Danio rerio: one gene and its partners. The main gene of each other region encodes a partner of the protein of the gene in region 2 in a complex. Links are inferred from orthologs where the notes say so. Each region holds a gene or a part of one and is shown on either strand. Other genes may lie near its edges.

Region 1 (7,175 bases), about 14 Mb from region 2:
ATTGTTCAAATATTGGTGACTGTGATGCAGCAAGTCCAGAGATTGTTGCATATAAAAATCATTTTAATGTGTGATATGACTTAAAATTGGGCACAAATTAACATTTTCTCCTTTCAAATGACTAGCGGCCTGGACCCGGAAACAGTATTTTATACGTCACGACTTAACAAGTGAATATTGGCCTTCACTTTTAACATTGTATCTAAATGTTTAATTGTTGTTTCTAATTTAGTTTTTGTCAATTGTTAATTAACTGTGCTTTTCACAGGAGCGATACAAGCGAGCCGTTGCAGACTCAGACAATGTTAGAAGAAGAACACAGAAATTTGTCGAGGACGCCAAACTTTTTGGTATAACTAACTATACACTTAATGCACGCATACCTTGGTGTCTCGTAAATCTCTCAGTCCCACATTAAGCATAATTGTCCTCCTGCAGGGATTCAGAGTTTCTGCCGTGACCTGGTAGAAGTGGCAGACCTTCTGGAGAAGAACTTAACAGTTGAGGAGAGCGATGGAGCACAGCAGCTGGCACAAAACCTGGCACACATTCAGGAGCGGCTGCAGGACATCTTCACCAAGCACGGACTGGAGAAGATGACCCCTGTGGGAACCACATATGACCCCTATCAGCACGAAATCGTCTGCCATACTCCAGCCGAGGGCGCGGAGCCTGGAACCATCGCCATGGTCAAGCAAGACGGTTACATGCTGCACGGACGCACCATTCGCCATGCCCTCGTGGGTATCGCTGTCAAGACTCAAGAGCGGTGACAGGACTTTGGTTCACTTCTTGTCCCGCTAATGCTTTTGTACATTCATAGTTTGTACGATGCTATTGTTCTTACATCTCTAGACGACTACATGTTTGACTTACTCTTTGAAGTAATGGTTATTTATATGTATTTATAAATGTTTTGTTGTTGTAAGCTTCTACACCAGTTTTTGTTTTGAACCCCTGATTTACACAATGTCCAGTGCCCATTTAATGTCTGGAAAGGTTGTCTTTTTGTGTGTTGCAGTGTTAAATTGACCCGGGAAATGCACTTTACGCCTTTATTATAGTGGATTCCGTATGTGATACTAGTTTAGAGGGAAAAGCAGCATATGAGATTGGTGAGAATATTAGTAACACTACAGTTTGATGATGTGTGTTTAACAACAGTTGAGGATTTGGTTATGAATTAACAATGAACAATCATGTTTAAGGCGTTTATTCATCATGGTAATGTTTAGTAGATGTATATCTAATTAGTTCATTGTCCATGATATTAGTAAATGCTGTAAACCTTTAGCAAACGTTTAGTTCATGGTCACTAATTTTAATGCATATAGCATTATTGTAACCTTTCCAGAAAGTTGTTGAATGTGTAAAGTGTTGAAGGCCACCAGTATCCAAAACAAAAGACAAACGTTTTCTCTTTTGGATGGGAGAAATGCACATTATATATAGATATGCATCCAAAGTGCAAATGAGCTTCGTGCTATTTGGGAGATAAAGTGAACATAAAAAATATTTATGTATTTATTCTGTTTGAAATAGTTTGCCCTGATAGTTTACATATTTTTTGTAGCTTAGAAGAAGAACTGAAACTGTAATCTATTTACATTTTCATTTAAGCTGAGTTTTTACTCATGCAATTTTTTTTTGTAAATGATGGAAACTCTTTAGTTTTGAGTGGATGTGTGAGGCTGATGACTGAATAAAAGTCTTTTCTTTTCGTTTGTTCATTTTGTGCACTAGGGGTCAGTGTTTTTAAAACAACTCAAAAACACGACATTCTAGATGTAGATACATAGATGCCTCTTTTAGATTCTGCCATGTAACGAGCAAAATATTCGAGAAGTTGACTGTAAAAACAAGCAAGTGTGAATATATCTACAATAGATTTTAATGTATTTTTAGCAACACGAATGCATTAGTTGATGTGTATAATAAAAAGTAATCTTTCACAATAACATATACATTCTTGAAAAGTAAACACGTTTAACTAATTTTTCCAAATGACTTTAGATTGTAAAATGATTTCCCCACAATACTGCTGATAAAACCATGAATTAAGATGCCATTATAAAATACCTACATTTCCCCCTCTAAATGTCCAGTTTCTTTATAAATTAAAATCGAAGTGGTAAGTGCAAGCTAAATTTACCGTTGGCGGACGGAGTCTGGAGCGGTTTCTAGCTCAGATACGGTTGCGGCCGGAAATTAACAGTAATCATTTATATTGTTTATTAAGTTTCCTATTTATTGTATTTTATTAGCGTCTGCCCCAACCCTAAAGCCAGCTTATACAGTGATGTAAAAACGGCCGTTTTGCCGCACTTATTTATTATAAATAAATAAATGGTATTTCATTAACGTCTGCCCCTAAACTCAACCGTCACAATACTGTAAAAATATTATTGTTATACAGTGTTATACAATATATTAAAAATATATTACTAATAAAATATTATTGTTATACAAAAATGATCCGCAGCTGTATCTAGACTTCACCGTCGAGAGCGGCATCTATGTATTATTCGACTCTATGGAGGAAATACTGCAGTGTTCGAAAAACACCGGAAATACGTTTATAGTCACCGCACGTGTGTTGTGCCTTGCATCCTGTGCCTGCAACACTATCAGCCTTAAGTTAATCGCTAAAGTATATTTGTGTACATTTTAACAAAAGATGACAAAGGTAAAGAAGGAGAAAGCCGGGGAAGAAGAAACCGGAGGGACGGAAAAATCATATCAAGAGTTGATAGCTAATATTAACCCAATCGCAAACCCGCTAGCATCGCGAAAACTTAGCAAAAAGCTCTACAAATGCGTCAAGAAAGGTAAACACGTGTTCAGAACTTGTTTTTAACATTCATAAAGAGTAACGTTATTGCCTGCGAGTGTGAATGAAAGTATACTAAATATCGCTGTCTGTAGGTTTAATATGTTGCAGACACGTGGTTGCAGTCATTTGTTCATTGGTTATGAGTGTTATTCATTATTATATTTATATTTTCTTAGCGGCTAAAGTTAAACAGATCCGACGAGGAGTCAAAGAAGTACAGAAGTTTATCAACAAAGGAGAGACTGGGTAAGATTAAGGTTTTTTCAGGTATTTGTTAAGCCCATTGGTTGATCAGTCCAGGGTTTAACCCATATTAGCCTTTTAAAAAGTTCATTCTAGTTTCAAATTGACTACACTACTAGACAAAGAATAATACTAATTTTTAATTTAACACGAAGAAATGCACAAAATTCACAAAACTATTTGAGCTCATGATGTTGTATTTGGTTCAGTTTGTACGCAGTATGATCATCTTAAAGGGATGGTTCAACCAAAAGTTATTTTATATTTTCATAATTTACTCACTTTTTATTTTGTTCCAAACCAGTTTAACTTAATTTTTTCGGTTGAACAAATATATTTTGACTTCCATTGCATTTGTTTTTCTTACTATGGTAGTCAATGTTTTCAGCTTGTTACAAAATATCTTTTGTGTTCAACAGAAGGAATAAACTTGAGGGAGAATAAAGAGTCTGTTATTATTTTTTTTCCCTGTGATTTATCCCTTTATAGTGTAAATATATCTTTAACTTATGGTTATAGTATATGAAAGCTATATTAGTTTTAGAAAACTAGCAGTATATTTTATTTAAATTATTTAAAAAATATCCTTGAATCTGTTGAAACTTTAGACCATTTTGAGGGACGTAAACAATAACAATGGTCCCAATTAGGCATGGGTGGTTTAGAATTCTGATGCTATGATAACCTTAGATCAGTGGTTCTCAAACTGTGGTACGTGTACCACTAGTGGTACGCAGGCCTTCTTCTAGTGGTACGCGGATGAATCAAATATGTAATATGTACATGCTACATATATTTAAAGAAATTATCAAAAATGATTTATATACGAATATGATGACATGAAGCCTATATTTATGAGGTCTAGGCAACTTTTCCAGGTGCTAACAAACCAGGAGTTATTTCTTTTTTTAAACTGTACAGAGCTTAAGCTGCTTTACTAGACCTAATACGCTACTGTATTTCAAAACTGCTCATTATGGTGGTACTTGCAAAGACAATTTTTTTCCGAGGTGGTACTTGATGAAAAACGTTTGAGAACCACTGCCTTAGATAGAAATATCACAGTTTTGTGATCACAACTCTAAAATATTTTCTTTTAAATGTCTAAAAAAAAAAAAACACGTTCTTCTGCTGCCTTCAAAAACACAAATTTCTCTACAATTTAAAACGACATATTTGGATATCTACTCTGCTGAAGATGTTGGCCTAAAAAAGCGTAAATAAAAAATCTTACACATACCTTAGGAATGAAATACATGAAAATTTTGAATGTTTTAAAACCTGGACTTTTTCCAAACCGCGGTAAACCTTGAAAACAGTTGTCATCCCATGCCTAGTCCCAATGTATTTTCTGTTTGACATGTTTTCATTTCTATAGCTTCTGAGAATCCAAAAAGGTCAACATATTGATAAACAATGTTATAGTAGCTGTTTTAGCATTGAGTTATAGTTAAATTCCCTCTTTTAACAGTTATGATAGTCTACACATGAATCATTTCTGCATGAAGAAATTACTTCAGTATTTTGTTTGTAAAATGTAATATCGTTTAATTAAGAAATTGTTACCATTTATATAGATTATATGCACTTATAAATTTAATTATATTATGTATTTAAAAATATTTTCAACTATGAAATTTAATAATAGCTTTCGTCTTTGTGAATTTTTATATTTGAAAAATTTTCTCAAGTTTTATGTATTAAAATGGGTAAGTGTGTTAACATGGAACTTGTATGGTAACATTCAAATTGTTTTGATTTTTTTGTCATTGATCAAAGTTTGCTGATCAGACACAATATGGCTTCAGTCAGACAAAAAGTTATTATGAGTTATGACTTGAGATCAAGCAGGCCTGAAATCTGAAAATCAAGTCAGAGTTATTAGCCGCCCCTTATATTATATATTAGATATTTATTTATTTATTTATTTATTTATTATCCTGTCTAAATGATGTTTAACAGAGTAGAAAATTTTCACAGTATGTCTGATAATGTTATTTCTTCTAGAGAAAGTCTTATTTGTTTTATTTCGGCTAGAATAAAAGCAGTTTTTAATTTTTCAAACACCATTTTAATGACAAAATTATTAGCCCGTTTAAGCTATATATTTTTTCGATATTCTACATAACAAACCAGGGTTCATACAGTCATAGAAACCCTGAAAAGTCATAGAATTTTGACATGGCATTTTCCAGGCCTGGAAAAGTTTTGGAAAACCAGAAAAACCCACAAAGTTTTGGAAGAATCATAGAAAGTAGTTTAACAAATATCTGTATACTTGAATTAGGGCTGCGCGATATTGAAAAAATCTGACATTACCATATTTTGTGTTTCTGTGATATATATTGCCATATAAATACAATTTTGCCAGATGATTTTACAGGTTTATTTGGATTGACCGGGGGGAATCTTGAATAATATATAACAAATTAATTTCATGCATAGATAAATAAAATATAATAAAGATAAAAGCTAATGATAGTTTTCAGGTATTCACTATTCATGTACAGATATTGAATAATAAACACTGCATAGTCTTTATTGCATATTATTTAATCTTTAATAAAGTTACAAAGCATTTCTTGTGAAAATTGTCATTTTTGGGTGAACTATCTCTTTAAAGATGCGTGCAGATGATAAACTTCTACTCCATTATAATTAAACTATAATTCCAACATTGCATATGCTGGGATGTGACTATTGTGGATGCACACACTGCGATATCGATTACATTCCTAAAACGATATATTGTGCAGCCCTAACTTCAATATTGGTTAGTTGTCTTACTTTCTGTCCTTGGCCAAAAACTTGCTCACATAAAAATAAATTTAAACAAAATAGATTGTTGCGTGTTTTATGATATGCTGTAATAAATTTGAACGTCATTGATTTTCTTATTATTTACCATGTATATGTAGACATTACATGAAACATTACGTCATGAAAATGTACTTGAAAGTTCTGGAAAAGTCTAAATAAAATATTGTTTACTGTCATCATGGCAAATATGAAATAAATCGGTTGTTAGAAAGGAGTAATGAAAACTATGAGGATTAGAAATGTATTGAAAAAATCTCTCCGTTAAACAGAAATGGGGGTGGGGGGAGGTAAACGGGGGCGAATAATTATGACTAACTGTTTGCGTTATGTATGCTTTATCAGGATTAAAAAATATTTTTTATGAATTGAACTTAATCATTTAATTGTTAAAATATAAGTTACAATAGTTTATTATTTTAAATGTAATACAAGTGTTTTTTTAATGTTTGTATTTAGTGCTGTCAAAATTAGTGTAATGCATGCAATTAATTTAAAATAATTAACGCATTGCAGGGTTTTTTTATTTCCTGTTGTGGTCGACGTGTGTATAACATGCAAAGAAATATGGATAAGAAGACCAAGGAAGCACTTTTTGAAGGAAAGTTTCAGTATAAAACAATTAATGTCACTTTTAACTTTCGACTTCTGTTTTAATAGAATTTGATACCGCATGGTGAATGGAAAGAAAAGCCTCTGCATTTCGTGACTCGGTGGTCCTTTATTGTAATCAAAAATCGCTGCTTACTTGGTCGACTCTTAATAAGAGTATTATCTTAATCATATTAAAATCTGAGTATTCATTCATTCATTTTCTTGTCGGCTTAGTCCCTTGTTATTCCGGGGTCGCCACAGTGGAATGAACCGCCAACTTATCCAGCTAGTTTTTACGCAGCAGATGCCCTTCCAGCCGCAACCCATCTCTGGAAAACATCCACACACACATTCATACACAACGGACAATTTAGTCTACCCAATTCACCTGTACCGCATGTCTTTGGACTCTGTCAGAATCCTTGTGAAATATAGCCATACTTTAGAACGCTTAGTTTAAGCAGATTTGATGAACGCGGTCATGCTTGTTGAATCTGAAGGGAGTCGCTCCGGCTCCCCTGTCATTGCGCGCGTTGTGTGTCTGTCTGTCTGTCTGTCTGTGTCAATCCCGTGCACAGACCCTTACAGGGGCAGGTGCTCAACACGACCGCCTAATGTAAAGAAGGACTGAGCAAAATTGTTTCTACTTTATAATTAATGTTCTCAACTCACAGTAATACAACTTTAC
Region 2 (5,576 bases):
CTTTTTCTTCTTCTTCTTTGCGCTCTCTGTAACCTGTGGGAAAAGAGATGCGTATTTACAGTTTCATCTTTACAGTGAGAGCAGGATAAAGCTGAAGAGTCCAGATATATTATTTGCTGACCTCAGTTTCTTCCTCCGCTGGAGCCTCGGCCGCTGCCTCCTCTGCCAACTTCTGCTTCTTTTCTTTCTTCTTTTTCTTCTTTTCCTTCTTGCTTTCTTCCTCCGTCTTTGAGGTGTCCTGAGCAGCAGCTGCAGCTTCGCCTTCACTTCCACTCTCGTCTCGTTTCCTCTACAACAAACATTGAAGGACAAAAAATAAACATTCAATATCGATCAGTATTGGATTTAAAAGTACTGATGCATTTCAGCAGTCAGGTTTACCTTTGCAGAAGCTTCACCACCCTTTTTCACCTTCGTTGTGCTACAACAGGAAAAAAAAAATGAATGAATTAACATTTCATAGTAGCGATGCAAGTAATAAGAGTAAATAAAATAGTCAATTGTTAATCCATTTAGGAGACAAATTGAGCTTTGGAAAATTCACATTTAGTAGACAAAGCTGATATACAGGGTCTCTGCAGATAACAATGTCAAATTTAACACCTTTTAAGACCATTAAGTATTAAATTTAAGAGCTATATCGAAATATCAAAAACACCAGAAAGAAAATGTAAAAGCACAAAATTAGGGGTAAAATAAAGTTATTTAAATTGAACAGTAGTGAAGTCAGGTTAAATGCACCATTGAACTACAGAAACACAAACATCTTAATGCAGATTTATACTTTCACCTGGCACCGCACAACTCACGAAACGGATTAAGGCTTTTATACTTGACACGTTCACCATTGAGATATTTTTTTTTAAATGACAGGGGGCGCTCCAAAAAAACAAAGTAAAATCAGACAAATAAAATGATAATCATTATCATTGAAGATGTGTTTGGGGGCCTCTTTTTTTGTTTTAACAAACTCATCCCTCAGAGTTTTTCCAAAGTTTTACAAAAACTTTCCTCCTTTCCCATGGCTGTTGCAATTTCTAGCCAATAAATATTGGTCATTCTGGCAAGCAGAAATGTAGCTGTGATAGAAAATGGGTAAAAATTAGATAAGGTATTATAGCTGTATTATACTGTACTATTCACTCTTTAAATAAATCCCACTATCAATCCCATTTTATCACTAAAATAAAGTGAACTAGTGTCTGCTGTACAGTGTTTTGTAAAGTACTTCAATTACTCTGTTGTGGTAATACTATGGTTGCTATGGTAACAAATTGTATTAAAAACAAACTACCCAGTGCTTTAGTTTTTTTTTTTTTACAATATGGGGTATATTTTTCAACAATTCAACACACTTACATGTAGTAAAACTAAACTGTATTTCATTTTATCAGTTCACTATTCTTACTACTACAGTATGCTGAAGCTTCTCTGGAAAAGCACGAAAGGAGTCCGACGGAGCGAGAGCAGATCATTTGCACGTGAGCAGCCAGTGTTTTGAGAGCTCGCAAGCAGTTTTGTCCATGAACAAAGGAAACCGGCGCGTGAGCAGAGATTCACTCTCTCGTTATTCAGCGCTCTCGACTTATAAAACTGCACTTGCGACATTTGTCAGTGAAATAACGGCATACTCTGCCAGCCGAAATCATGTCGCGCGCACTCAAAGTGAACTTCCGCAAACACAGCGATGATGTTACATTTGAGTTTAATATCAGAAAGCTGATTGGCTATTGCAAGTTGACTTTTTTGCAGTTGTAAAACAGAAAATTACAATTGGACTAGTAAAATAAAGTAATAATAGTCATAAAACTACAACAACCCCAAAAACCAAGCAACAACAACAAGAATTTAAATGAGCATTAGATGTAGCGTTACATGGACATCGCAAAAATATGACCTGTGCAAAAATATTTAAGACCAAGAACAACAAATTTAAGATTTTTTAAAGCCATAAATGTCAATTTTTTTAATTTAAGATTTAATACTTTAAGACCCCGCGGGGACCCTGATATAAACATCTACTGTTTGAGCACACTAGCTTATAGATATCCTATACAACGAACAATACTCTTACTAATATCTAGGGGTGCTAAGATCACAACCCACAGTTTAAAAGGCATGATTAATAACGAATAAGAGATCGCCTCTATATAGATCTTACATAAAAACATTTTGGCTTTCGTGTAAAATATAATGACGACAGAAGTTGTGAAGGCACCAAAATGCTTTCTTAAGATTATTAAAGGCATTTTGTGTTGCTACACGTTTAGCCTGCATTAATGCAGTCAGTGTAAACCTGCACAAGTGATCATTAAAAGAAAGATCAGGATCAGGAAGAGTTATGCAGATGTCCACAGAGCTCAGGTGTCCATCGTGCACACATCGTGCAGACAGCATTAGCCTGAGCTCAGGGTTTTGCTTTAGCAGACAGACTCCCTCTAGGCTCACAGCAGAACAAAAAGGGATAACAGTCTGCAGGAATGTGTGCGAACACGGAAACATGCATACCTGTAGTCTACATAGCCCTCTTTCCAGTCTGAAGGTGTGCTGTTGTTTGGTTTGCCATGTTTGTCTAGAAGTCCCTTTTGGATCATCATTTTCTTCTGGCTGGCCTGAAATGCAGGAGTTGCCACATTTAAATAGTACATCATTATTAACATTTACTCTGGGGCGTGTACCATGAAGATGGATTAGCTGGCTAGCCTGTTTAAACACGCACCAATTCTGGATTTTAGGCAGCAGGAACATTTAAATAATTTTGGATTGCCATTGTATATTATGCTGTACTGCTAATATGCTTTAGTTTAGAGACCACAAAGACATTTAAGCTATTGTATTTCAATAGGCTGTCTCTTTCGTATCTCCAGACTCAAACTTTCATATTTTTACGTACTCACTTAAAATAGGCAGGAGGCATCTGAAGCCAAACTAAATTTGTTAAAAAAAAAAAAAAAAAAAAAAAAAAAAAAAAAAAAAAAAAAAGGGATTTATGAGGGTCCTAAAAGCAGAAAATGATTCAGCATTAACTTGATATATCCGACTTAAGAAAAACTCCCACAACAAGACACAGGGAGCCAATAAAATGACTTTCCAGCAGTAACATTTAAATTAATCACACACCACACTGTGCTTAGGATTTGAACTATACGGCAGACTATTAAAAGGGGTGGTTCTTTTCTCAAAATAAATAAAGACCTTTTTGCAGTTATTCACCTCATTTTCTATTAAATTATGAATTTCAAACACTGCTTTAAAGCACTAACCTTTTCTGGATTAGCTTGTTGATTGATTATTATAATCAAACTTTAGTGCAACAAAAATATTTCCTACAAAGTGCTCACCATACTACTATTTAACCATGAAGTGTTTTACAAATGTGCATTTGAAAAATAAAATAATTAGATTTTTAAAATTAAACATTTTAAAATTAAGAAATATGAAACACTAAATGTATTATTCATCATGAAAAAACTAATTAGGAATCTGTTAAAACATGTTTTAATTCAAAAACTACCCTATAGGTAAATAAACAGGTCAGCAAGTCAGAATTTGTCCATTTAAATGTAATTTTATCTATCTTAGGCTGCTTTCACACCTGTGAATCGATTCAGTTGTTCCGAAATAGAGATTACTATTGTTACATTGTTGCTCTTTATTCTTGGCGCGGTTCGCTTTCACACAGCAAAGTTTCTAAACGGACCAAAAGAGCTAAAACAAGTCACGTGTGAGTAAACTCTCCTCACATTGGTCAGTGTCAGGGTTAATTTTGCAGAGTCTCGGTCAGCTGTCAGGAGAGGTGGTGGTTTGGTGGTGTTTAACAAGGTGCGTCCATCTGTAGAGTGAGGAGAGACGGGGTGGGGAGGGGTGAGAATGATGCACGACGTAGCCCATTTGAGGACCGGGAGGAAGACGCAAGATTACCAGGAGATTATCACACGTTTGCGGGCATCTGGAAACTCGCGAAATTTCCCGCCCTATAATTCTCTCTTCATATCGCCGTATGCCTATTACATATCCATAAAACACAGTGATATAACCGCGCTCGGATCGTATCGCTTTCTCACTGCAATGGATCCGCTCCAAAGTTAAGTTTTAATCGAGCCGAGACCACCTCATTCAAACGATTTCGGAGCGATTGATTTGGCACAGATCCTAGCATGATTGCTGGTTTCACATATGCCAAACGAACAGCACTAACTGGGCAAATGAGACAGGTTCCCAAACAAAAGTGGAGGTGTGAAAGCACCCTTAAAACCTACTTCTATCGATTATTTTCACAATTTATTATGGCATACTGTCAAAATCGAGACAAATGAGCTCATTAAGGGGCCAAATTATGGACTTTGTCAGTGGGGGGGTGGATCTTTTGAACCACATACCCCTCTGCTTGGCTACGGGTCTGAAAATACAATAGGTTCTGCCATTAACTAGGCATGGGACGATAACCGTTTTGAAGGGATACCATGGTTTGGGAAAAAAAAAGGTTTTTAAAACAGCCAAAATATATATTTTTTTAATTTACTTTTAGTTTTTAGGACAACAGTATCTCCAGCAGAAAAGATATTCAAAGATGCCGTTTCAAATTGTAAAGAAATCGGTGTTTTAGAAACTAATGAAAAGAGCACAAGTCAATAATTCATTTTCATTATTTGACACGTTTACTGCTACAGAATATTTTAAATTTAATTTTTTTTTAAATATATATTGTTTTTAAAAGGGGGAAAAAAAATGTTGTTGTTTTTTTTTTTAAAGATTATATTTTAGAGCAGTAATAACAATATTGTGATATTTTTGTCCAAGGTTATGATACTGTCAGAATCTTATACCGACCCATGAACACACAATTGTTGTTTTAGATAAAACTGTGACTTTATACTGCCGAGAGATTGGATTTAACTTCATTTGCATTAATAAACCAAAATGACTTCCTTTTAGCAGCTCTTTTTATGAGCGTACAAGCATTTTTAAATTCCACTTACACATTTTGGCTGCGAATTGTTAATTTACTCACAGAAGAAACTAAAAAAAATCTAAATATCTTAATTTCAAGGCATGTGATTGGCTGCTTGCTACTATTGTCCTGCCTTCATCTGCACATGCTCATGAACTCCAGAGTAAACAAAGTGATCAACGTCGTTCTACAACAAAGCCTGATTGCACTAGTTTGGATTACAGGGTTAATTTTGAGTTGATATAACCAGAGTTCAAGCCTACATCATGGCGTCAAATTTCTCTCAATGTTCATTACCTTTGGTCCAAGACCCCATTTGCGTGGATATGTGTCTCTCTCCATGATGACTCTCTTGATTTTAGCGACAACCCCATGGTCACATGTGGATATTACAGCTGTGGTCATCAGAGCAACCGCTGAAGGAGGAAAATAAAACCATTGAAACCCATCCAAATCCTAATACTTCAACTGTAAAGTCTTGCAGAGCCATCAGTCATGGGTGATAGATAAACGGTCATCTTTGCAGCAATGCTAATGCAATCTACATCACATCATGTGGCTGAGAATGGCGCATGCTACAAGTTTCAAAGGATGACATTTACCTGTGCAAATGGCTTCTCCTTTA
Region 3 (7,040 bases), on a different chromosome or scaffold from region 2:
AATGACAATTCTGCTATTATTTATTTATCCTTTGCTTGTAACAATGATTTTCTTTTCTACTGTTGAACACAAAGTAAGATATACTGAAGAATGTTGGAAAAAATTCCCATTGGCTTAAAATGGATGTCAGTGGCTGTTTTTTTTCCAATATTCAACAAAATATATTGCTTTGTTTAAAAGTTTAGTACCCCTAAATGTGATAAAATAGCAAGAAAAGTTTCATTTTTGGGTGAAAAGCGCCTTTTAACCAAAATATAAATATATGTAATAGAACAATAATGAGAGAGAGAGAGAGAGAGAGAGAGAGAGAGAGAGAGAGAGAGAGAGAGAAAAGAGAGTTTAGAGTTTATTGCCTTATCAGCTTCAATGTATATTTGAAGGCAAAATATGATCAAATTTACAGTTTATAAGTAACATCTTTCTATAAACAATGCAATAATGCATAAAATAATATGAAAATCTCTCTTTTTTTAAATATTTCCTTTCATTTCAAAAACTTTTGAAGAATTCACATTTACTCTCATTGAAAAATTCCTTCAAAGTCTCTCTAGATTAAGCATCTTCAGACTTTATTCCCAGGCTTTGGAAATAGACATTAAAATTTATTTGGATTTAGCTTTGTATGGATGTTCAGACCAGGCTCTAACTTGGCCTAAACACCAACAACTCTCCCTTATGTTTGGCATGGTGCAGGCCAAGAGAGTGATTCTGATGGAGTGAAATTCCACGACACCTCCAAGTTTTTTTAAAAGCTGAAATGATTTTTGCCTTTAAGCTGGAAAGGTTATGTTTCTCTAGATTCTCTGGCAAACAGAAAATGTATGACAAAATATAGGGGCCCCTTCCTTAGATGTAGGTTAATAATGTCTCTGTAACTATTTTTGGCAGTATTTTGTTTCTTATTCCATTATTCTGGCTGATATCTTTTGTATTGTATTTTTGATTGTGCTGTATAATTGCTGTAATGTTTGCTAGGGTTTTGGTGCATGTTCCAGTTAGTATCAGGCAATAATACCAAAATAATTTTGTTAACATATATACAGGATGAGCGCTGATGCCTCACAGAAAGAAGGTCACTGGTTCATGCCTTGCCTGGGTGAGTTGGCGTTTCTATGTGGAGTTTGCATGTTCTCCCCTTGTTGATGTAAGTTTCCTCCTGGTGCTCCGATTTCCCCCAGAGTCCAAAGATAAGCGCTATAGGTGAATTGAGTAAGCTAAATTGTCCATAGTGTATGTGTGTGAATGAGTGTTTATGGGTGTTTCCCAGTGATGGGTTGCAGCTGCAAGGGCATCCACTGTGTAAAACATATGCTGGATTATTTAGCGGTTCATTCCGCTGTTTAATAAAGGATCTAAGCTGAAAAGAAAATGAATGAACGAATGATAAACACGATGAGTGCTGTCGCCTCACAGCAAGAAGGTCGCTGGTTTGAGCCTTGGTTGGCGTTTCCGTGTTAAGTTTGCATGTTCTCCCCATGTTAGTGTGGGTTTCCTCCGGGTGCTCTGGTTTCCCCCACAACCCAAAGACATGTGGTACAGGTGAATTGGGTAAGCTAAATTGTTCGTAGTGTATGTGTGTTTGGGTTTTCCAGTGATAGGTTGCAGCTGGAAGGGCATCTGCAGTGTAAAACATATGCTGGAGAAGTTGGCAGTTCATTTCACCGTGGCAAGCCCTGATTAGTAAAGGGACTAAGCCCAAAATATAATTAATAAATAAGTAAAATGTTTCTTTAAACAATACAATAATAAATAAATTAGGATTAATTTCTTTTAAAGATTTTTTTGGATAATTTCTAAAATTTTTGAAGAATTCACATATACTCTCATTGAATAATTCCAAAGTCTCTATAGATTAAAACCACTTCCACATAACATTAAGAGTATGCTTTTTACATTTAGGATTTTATTCCAATACTGGCATTTTAAAGCAATTTCTCTTGAGTAAATGTCCATAAATAAGTCTAGCTTGTCTAAAAGGCATATTGTGTGTGTGTGTGTGTGTGTGTGTATATATATATATATATATATATAAAGATTTTTGATTCCAAAGATTCCAAAAAGTGTATTATTTGATCACTAATCCCATTCTGCTTACCTTTATTTAGAATGTAAAGTGAGATTTTGAACTTCTTAATTCTTCCTGTAGGTGTAATTCAGTTAAATTTATCTGCTTTTTCATTTCCAAGCAAGCAAACACATCCTGGGATCAAGCATTAAACTATATTTTATATATTTTGTGGCACCATGAAAAAAAACAAAAAACACTTCATTTCCTTGCAGCTCAAAAAAAAAAAAAAAAAACATCACATTCAAATTTCAGAAGGACCCTAAAGTTCACTTACACACTTATCTATAAAATTGAATGCATATGAAAAGCTAAAGGACAAGATCCGTGTAATTCTTTAAAGATGGAAGCGGAAGCTTTACATATGGAGTTTATTTCTCACATCAGAAGTGTGTATTGACAGAGTGCCAAACAGGATGCATTAAATCCTAAATGTACTGTAGCTTTTACTAAATGGCCTCACCTTCCTCTTCAACCCCAGCAGCATCTTGGCTTTTGCTCTTCTCCTCTGAAGGCTCATGGGCTATCTCTATCATAGGGAAATCAAGAGCCACATCCTCCTGCTGGAGTCGAGGCTGTTTCGCTGCTGGTTCCTCCTCTTCTTCCAGTGCTCCTTGAACAAGTGCTTCATGGGGAGGTTCTCCATCAGCCTCTGCTTCCTGTCCTGCAGCACCCTCACCACTCTGAGCAACACCGGACATCCTGTATTCACTGATAAATAAGTGTGCAGTGGCCTCTGAAAATATGAGCAAGTCATGGTAATTCAGTTATAGTTATATACAGTACACACATAAATTGTCTGAAAATGAAAAAATAAAAAAAGTCCTTGGAGATTATACATTTTCATTACCCATTTCTAACTTAAAAAACACATGCGAGACTTCTGTAAATCTATTTTTGCTCATTTATTATGAGAAATAAATGTATACTCTTTATTGTAAAATTCAGCAAAAATGCTTATACTTTCTTTGAAATGAAAAAAAACGCATAGAATTTAAATAGTAAGTAATATATAAAAAATGTTTCATTATAAAAATGTACTTGTAATGCCTTAATGAATACAATAGAAGTTCTCACTAAATATGACCTCTAACCCCTCCCCCTTATGTTGTTGCAATAGCCAAATAAACATTGTATAGGTCAAAATTATCGATTTATGTCAGAAATCATTAAGTAAATCATCTTTCATGAAGATATTTAGCAAGTTTTTTCCTGTAAATATATCAAAACCTATCATTTGATTAGTAATATGCATGGCTGGGAACTCAATCTGGACAACTGGCAATTTTCTCACTATTTGTATTTTATGCACCCTAAGCTTCAAGACATTCAAACAGTTGAATCTCAATCAAATATTGTCATATCTAAACAAGCCATACATCGATGGAATGCTTGTTTATTCAGAGGATATACATCTCAATTCCAAAATTTGACAGTCATAATTTTTTGATCCTGGGTCACCTATACATAATACATTCAATATATATACACTGTATGCAAAAAAAAAAAAAAAAAAAAACTCTGACATTGCACTCTAAAATTATTCTTTTTTCAGCCATTCATGTTTATGTTCAATAAGTTCACTTTAAAAGCTATGAAACATGAAAACAACTTATTTGCCATAAAAGTGAAATTACTGAACCTAAACAGGAAGCTGGGGGAAAAAGTCCAGTTTAGAAGTAAAGGTCAAACAGCACTTAGAGGTTTGTGCATCTGAACTCTTCATAAATAAACAGAAAGCATATTAAATGCAAGTGTTTATATTATTTCAATATACGTTTAGATAACTGAAATATGAAAATATGGATGGAATAGTGCATAATACAGCATAATACAGACATTCTTACAAAAAGAAAAAGTTATTCTGACTTGTACTTATTAAAACATACAATGGAACAAATTACCTTATGATATTTTAATGTATTTTAAATGATTAAAAACGTCTGCTTACAAATGAGTTAAAGACTAAAGTTTCGAATTAAAATTGCAACAAATCAGCATCTTGCGGCTGCACTGTGAGGCTTAAAATTGAGGTAAAGTTGGTTTTACATTCACACATTCAGAAATAGCAAACACTATTTAATTGACTCTGAACAATTTTGTACTTTAGTCTTTGGAGGCTAATATGATGTCCATATTTCGAGTTTGTAAAGAATGCTTTTCTGAAAATAGGCCTCCTATTAAGGTGAAAGTCCGAATGTCCGAATATAAAACCAACTTTAGGACTCTTTTAATGTCACCTAGTTACTCGTGTTGTTCTATTTTTGTCTGCTTGATAACCTTTTTAGAACACATAACGACACTGTCCCGTCCTGACATGTATTCTAGTGTATATGCAGATGTGTATAAATGCTGTCAGGTGTTAAGTTAACAATTTGGTGCGGCTGCATCACTAAAATTACAATTATCATAATCGTAATTATAAATATGTTGTGTTTAACAGCGGCATCACTCTACCTGTTGTTTCTTTAACTCGTGTCTGATGTGTCTTGTGCTCTGGCTCTTACAGAACACGCAGTCGTCCTCAGTGTTTGTGTTTTATTGAATTCAGAGAATAGTTTCCGAGCATCTCGACTACAAATGCACTATGTTAAACCAACAGTCAACAAAAACTCGCGCGTCGTGTTTGTAATCGCAGGGCGCCGCCATGCCTGCACTGTAAGCTTATCCAGGTCACGTGACTCTCGCGATATTTGCGTCATACTATGAAATATTTTTAGTACACTTTCGAAAAGCTTTAATGTATTTTGTCATATATTAGACTGTGTTTTGTTTGGTATTTTTCAATAAGCAAAAATAAAGACGTCTTCATACTGTTTAACAGAAATAATATCAATATTTCAGTGTAATGAAAGCTTTTATGACAAAACCTCGCCAGGCATATTCCCAAAACAGCCCTCAATAAGCTAAAGTGTCGTTTTGAAACTTTATATTTGCGGATATCCTTCAAATTACCATTGGATTTGACAACTGATAGAAAACTTTACTCACTAAATATAGAAAAAAGTTGCTTGGACCACTTAATAATCTTTATCGCTCATACTAAAAGATGATAAACGTAATCCACCCCTATTTTACATTTTTTTATTTAAAACATTAAAGTGGACAGTTTAATTGCATTTACTAAATATATAATTTTAAATGAATGTTACTGTTATACATTATATACTCACATCCTTGTGCATTTTTTTTTATTCACACACTGACAGTAAAGAAAGGCTTGTGTGTTATTTGTGCACGCCAGTGTGGAGATAAGATTATTTGTGAATCTCTAGTCAAATAAATATATTTTGATCATTGTTTCTAAATGTTATTTATTTTTTATTTTTTCCACATGGAAAAATAAATATTATTTAATTAGAGAAGAAAACATTAATGCTTTGAGAAACCCAGTCTGAATAGTTTTAAAAGCTTGAGGTTTAAAAAAAAGTGTACATCTCAAAAAAGATAGGGAGTGGTTGCGGGGACAAAATGATAGCGGTAGCTATGCAGTTAGGATACAGCTGCTATGGTTACTAGCACATTGCTGGCATGATTACCGTGTTACTAGCATGTTTAGCACAAAATTAGCATGTTGTTAACATTTTTGCATTAGCATGCTTTTAACATGATTAATATGTTGCTAGCCTATTTCTAGCATGATTAGCACATTATCAGCATGCTGATAACATTCTGGCATGATTAGCATGTTGCTAGCCTGTTTCTAGCGTGATTAGCACATTATTAGCATGTTGTTAACATTCTGGCATAATTAACTTTACTATTTCTAACGTGATTAGCATGTTGCTAGCATGATTAGCACATTGTAAATATTCTGGCATAATTAGCATGTTATTATGTTTCTAACATGATAAGCACATAGTTTCTAACATGATTTCCACATTAGCATGTTGTTAACATATTGATATGATTAACATGTTACAAGCATGTTTCTAACACAAATAGCATGTTGCTAACCTTTTTTTTAGCTTGATTAGCACAGTTCTAGTATGTTAATATCTTAGCATTATTAACATGCTACTAATATGTTTTAACATGATAATGTTGCTAGCATGTTTTTAGCATAATAATAACATTATTAGCATGTTGTTAACAACCTGGTATGATAAGCATGTTGCTAGCCTGTTTCTAACATGATCAGAACATTAGCCTACTAACATGTTGTTAACATTGACATAATTAACATGTTGCTAGCCTGTTTCTAGCATAATTAGCACATTATTAGCATGTTGTTAACATCCTGGTATGATTAGCATGCTTATAACATGATTAGCATGTTGCTAGCCTATTTTTAGCATAATTAGCACATTACTTGCATGTTTATAACATTCTGACATGATTAAATGTTACTAGCATGTTTCTAACATGATTAGCATGTTGCTAACCTGTTTCTAAAATAATTTGCACATTACTAACATGTTGTTAACATTCTGGCATGCTGGGTATGTTTCTAGCTTGAATAGTGTATTGCTAGCATGCTTCTAACATGATTAGGACGTTGTTAGCCTGTTTCTAGCATGATTATCACATTATTAGCATGTTGTTAACATTCTGGCATATATAACATACTAGCATGTTTTTGACTAGATTAGCATGTTGCTAACCTGTTTCTAGCATGTTACTACCCGCAGGCAAAGTATGTCACTTTATGCAGACAAAAATGAAAACCCTGACAACTAGTTTTTATGTAAACCACCAAACAGTGAGTCGACACAAGTTCTTTATTCTTTAAGTATTTATTACTTTTCTTCAAACAAACCAGAAACCCCAAAAACTATTTACACCAGGAATATTCAAACATTATCGTCAAATGGTTTGTGACCTTTTTATACAGCAAATTTTAGAAGACATCCACCTAAGATATGTGACAAGTTCTCATTATGCAGTGCTGATTTACAGTGAGCCATTTCCAATTTAATTCAGCGGATGATTTTAACACGAACAAACGGCTTACTGCAGTACTTTTGCCATTCAT

What was found.
Region 1: dkc1 (region 2) and nhp2 share a complex: the UniProt entries of both Homo sapiens proteins name them as parts of the H/ACA small nucleolar ribonucleoprotein (H/ACA snoRNP) complex. The link is inferred for Danio rerio from reciprocal best matches to the Homo sapiens genes DKC1 and NHP2.
Region 3: dkc1 (region 2) and wrap53 share a complex: the UniProt entries of both Homo sapiens proteins name them as parts of the telomerase holoenzyme complex. The link is inferred for Danio rerio from reciprocal best matches to the Homo sapiens genes DKC1 and WRAP53.

Annotation. Positions count from the first base shown.
Region 1 is NC_133196.1:33,051,821-33,058,995, reverse strand, and holds the start of nhp2 (H/ACA ribonucleoprotein complex subunit 2-like protein), read left to right. Parts: upstream 1-2,544; 5' UTR 2,545-2,677; coding exon 2,678-2,828; intron 2,829-3,009; coding exon 3,010-3,079; intron 3,080-7,175. UniProt on the Homo sapiens protein: Required for ribosome biogenesis and telomere maintenance. Part of the H/ACA small nucleolar ribonucleoprotein (H/ACA snoRNP) complex, which catalyzes pseudouridylation of rRNA.
Region 2 is NC_133196.1:47,459,118-47,464,693, reverse strand, and holds part of dkc1 (H/ACA ribonucleoprotein complex subunit DKC1), read right to left. Parts: coding exon 5,554-5,576; intron 5,512-5,553; exon of another isoform or gene 5,436-5,511; intron 5,368-5,435; coding exon 5,249-5,367; intron 2,987-5,248; exon of another isoform or gene 2,613-2,986; coding exon 2,509-2,612; exon of another isoform or gene 905-2,508; intron 721-904; exon of another isoform or gene 422-720; coding exon 382-421; exon of another isoform or gene 290-381; coding exon 122-289; intron 34-121; coding exon 1-33.
Region 3 is NC_133182.1:20,882,874-20,889,913, reverse strand, and holds the start of wrap53 (telomerase Cajal body protein 1), read right to left. Parts: upstream 4,730-7,040; 5' UTR 4,523-4,729; intron 2,802-4,522; 5' UTR 2,767-2,801; coding exon 2,529-2,766; intron 1-2,528. UniProt on the Homo sapiens protein: RNA chaperone that plays a key role in telomere maintenance and RNA localization to Cajal bodies. Specifically recognizes and binds the Cajal body box (CAB box) present in both small Cajal body RNAs (scaRNAs) and telomerase RNA template component (TERC).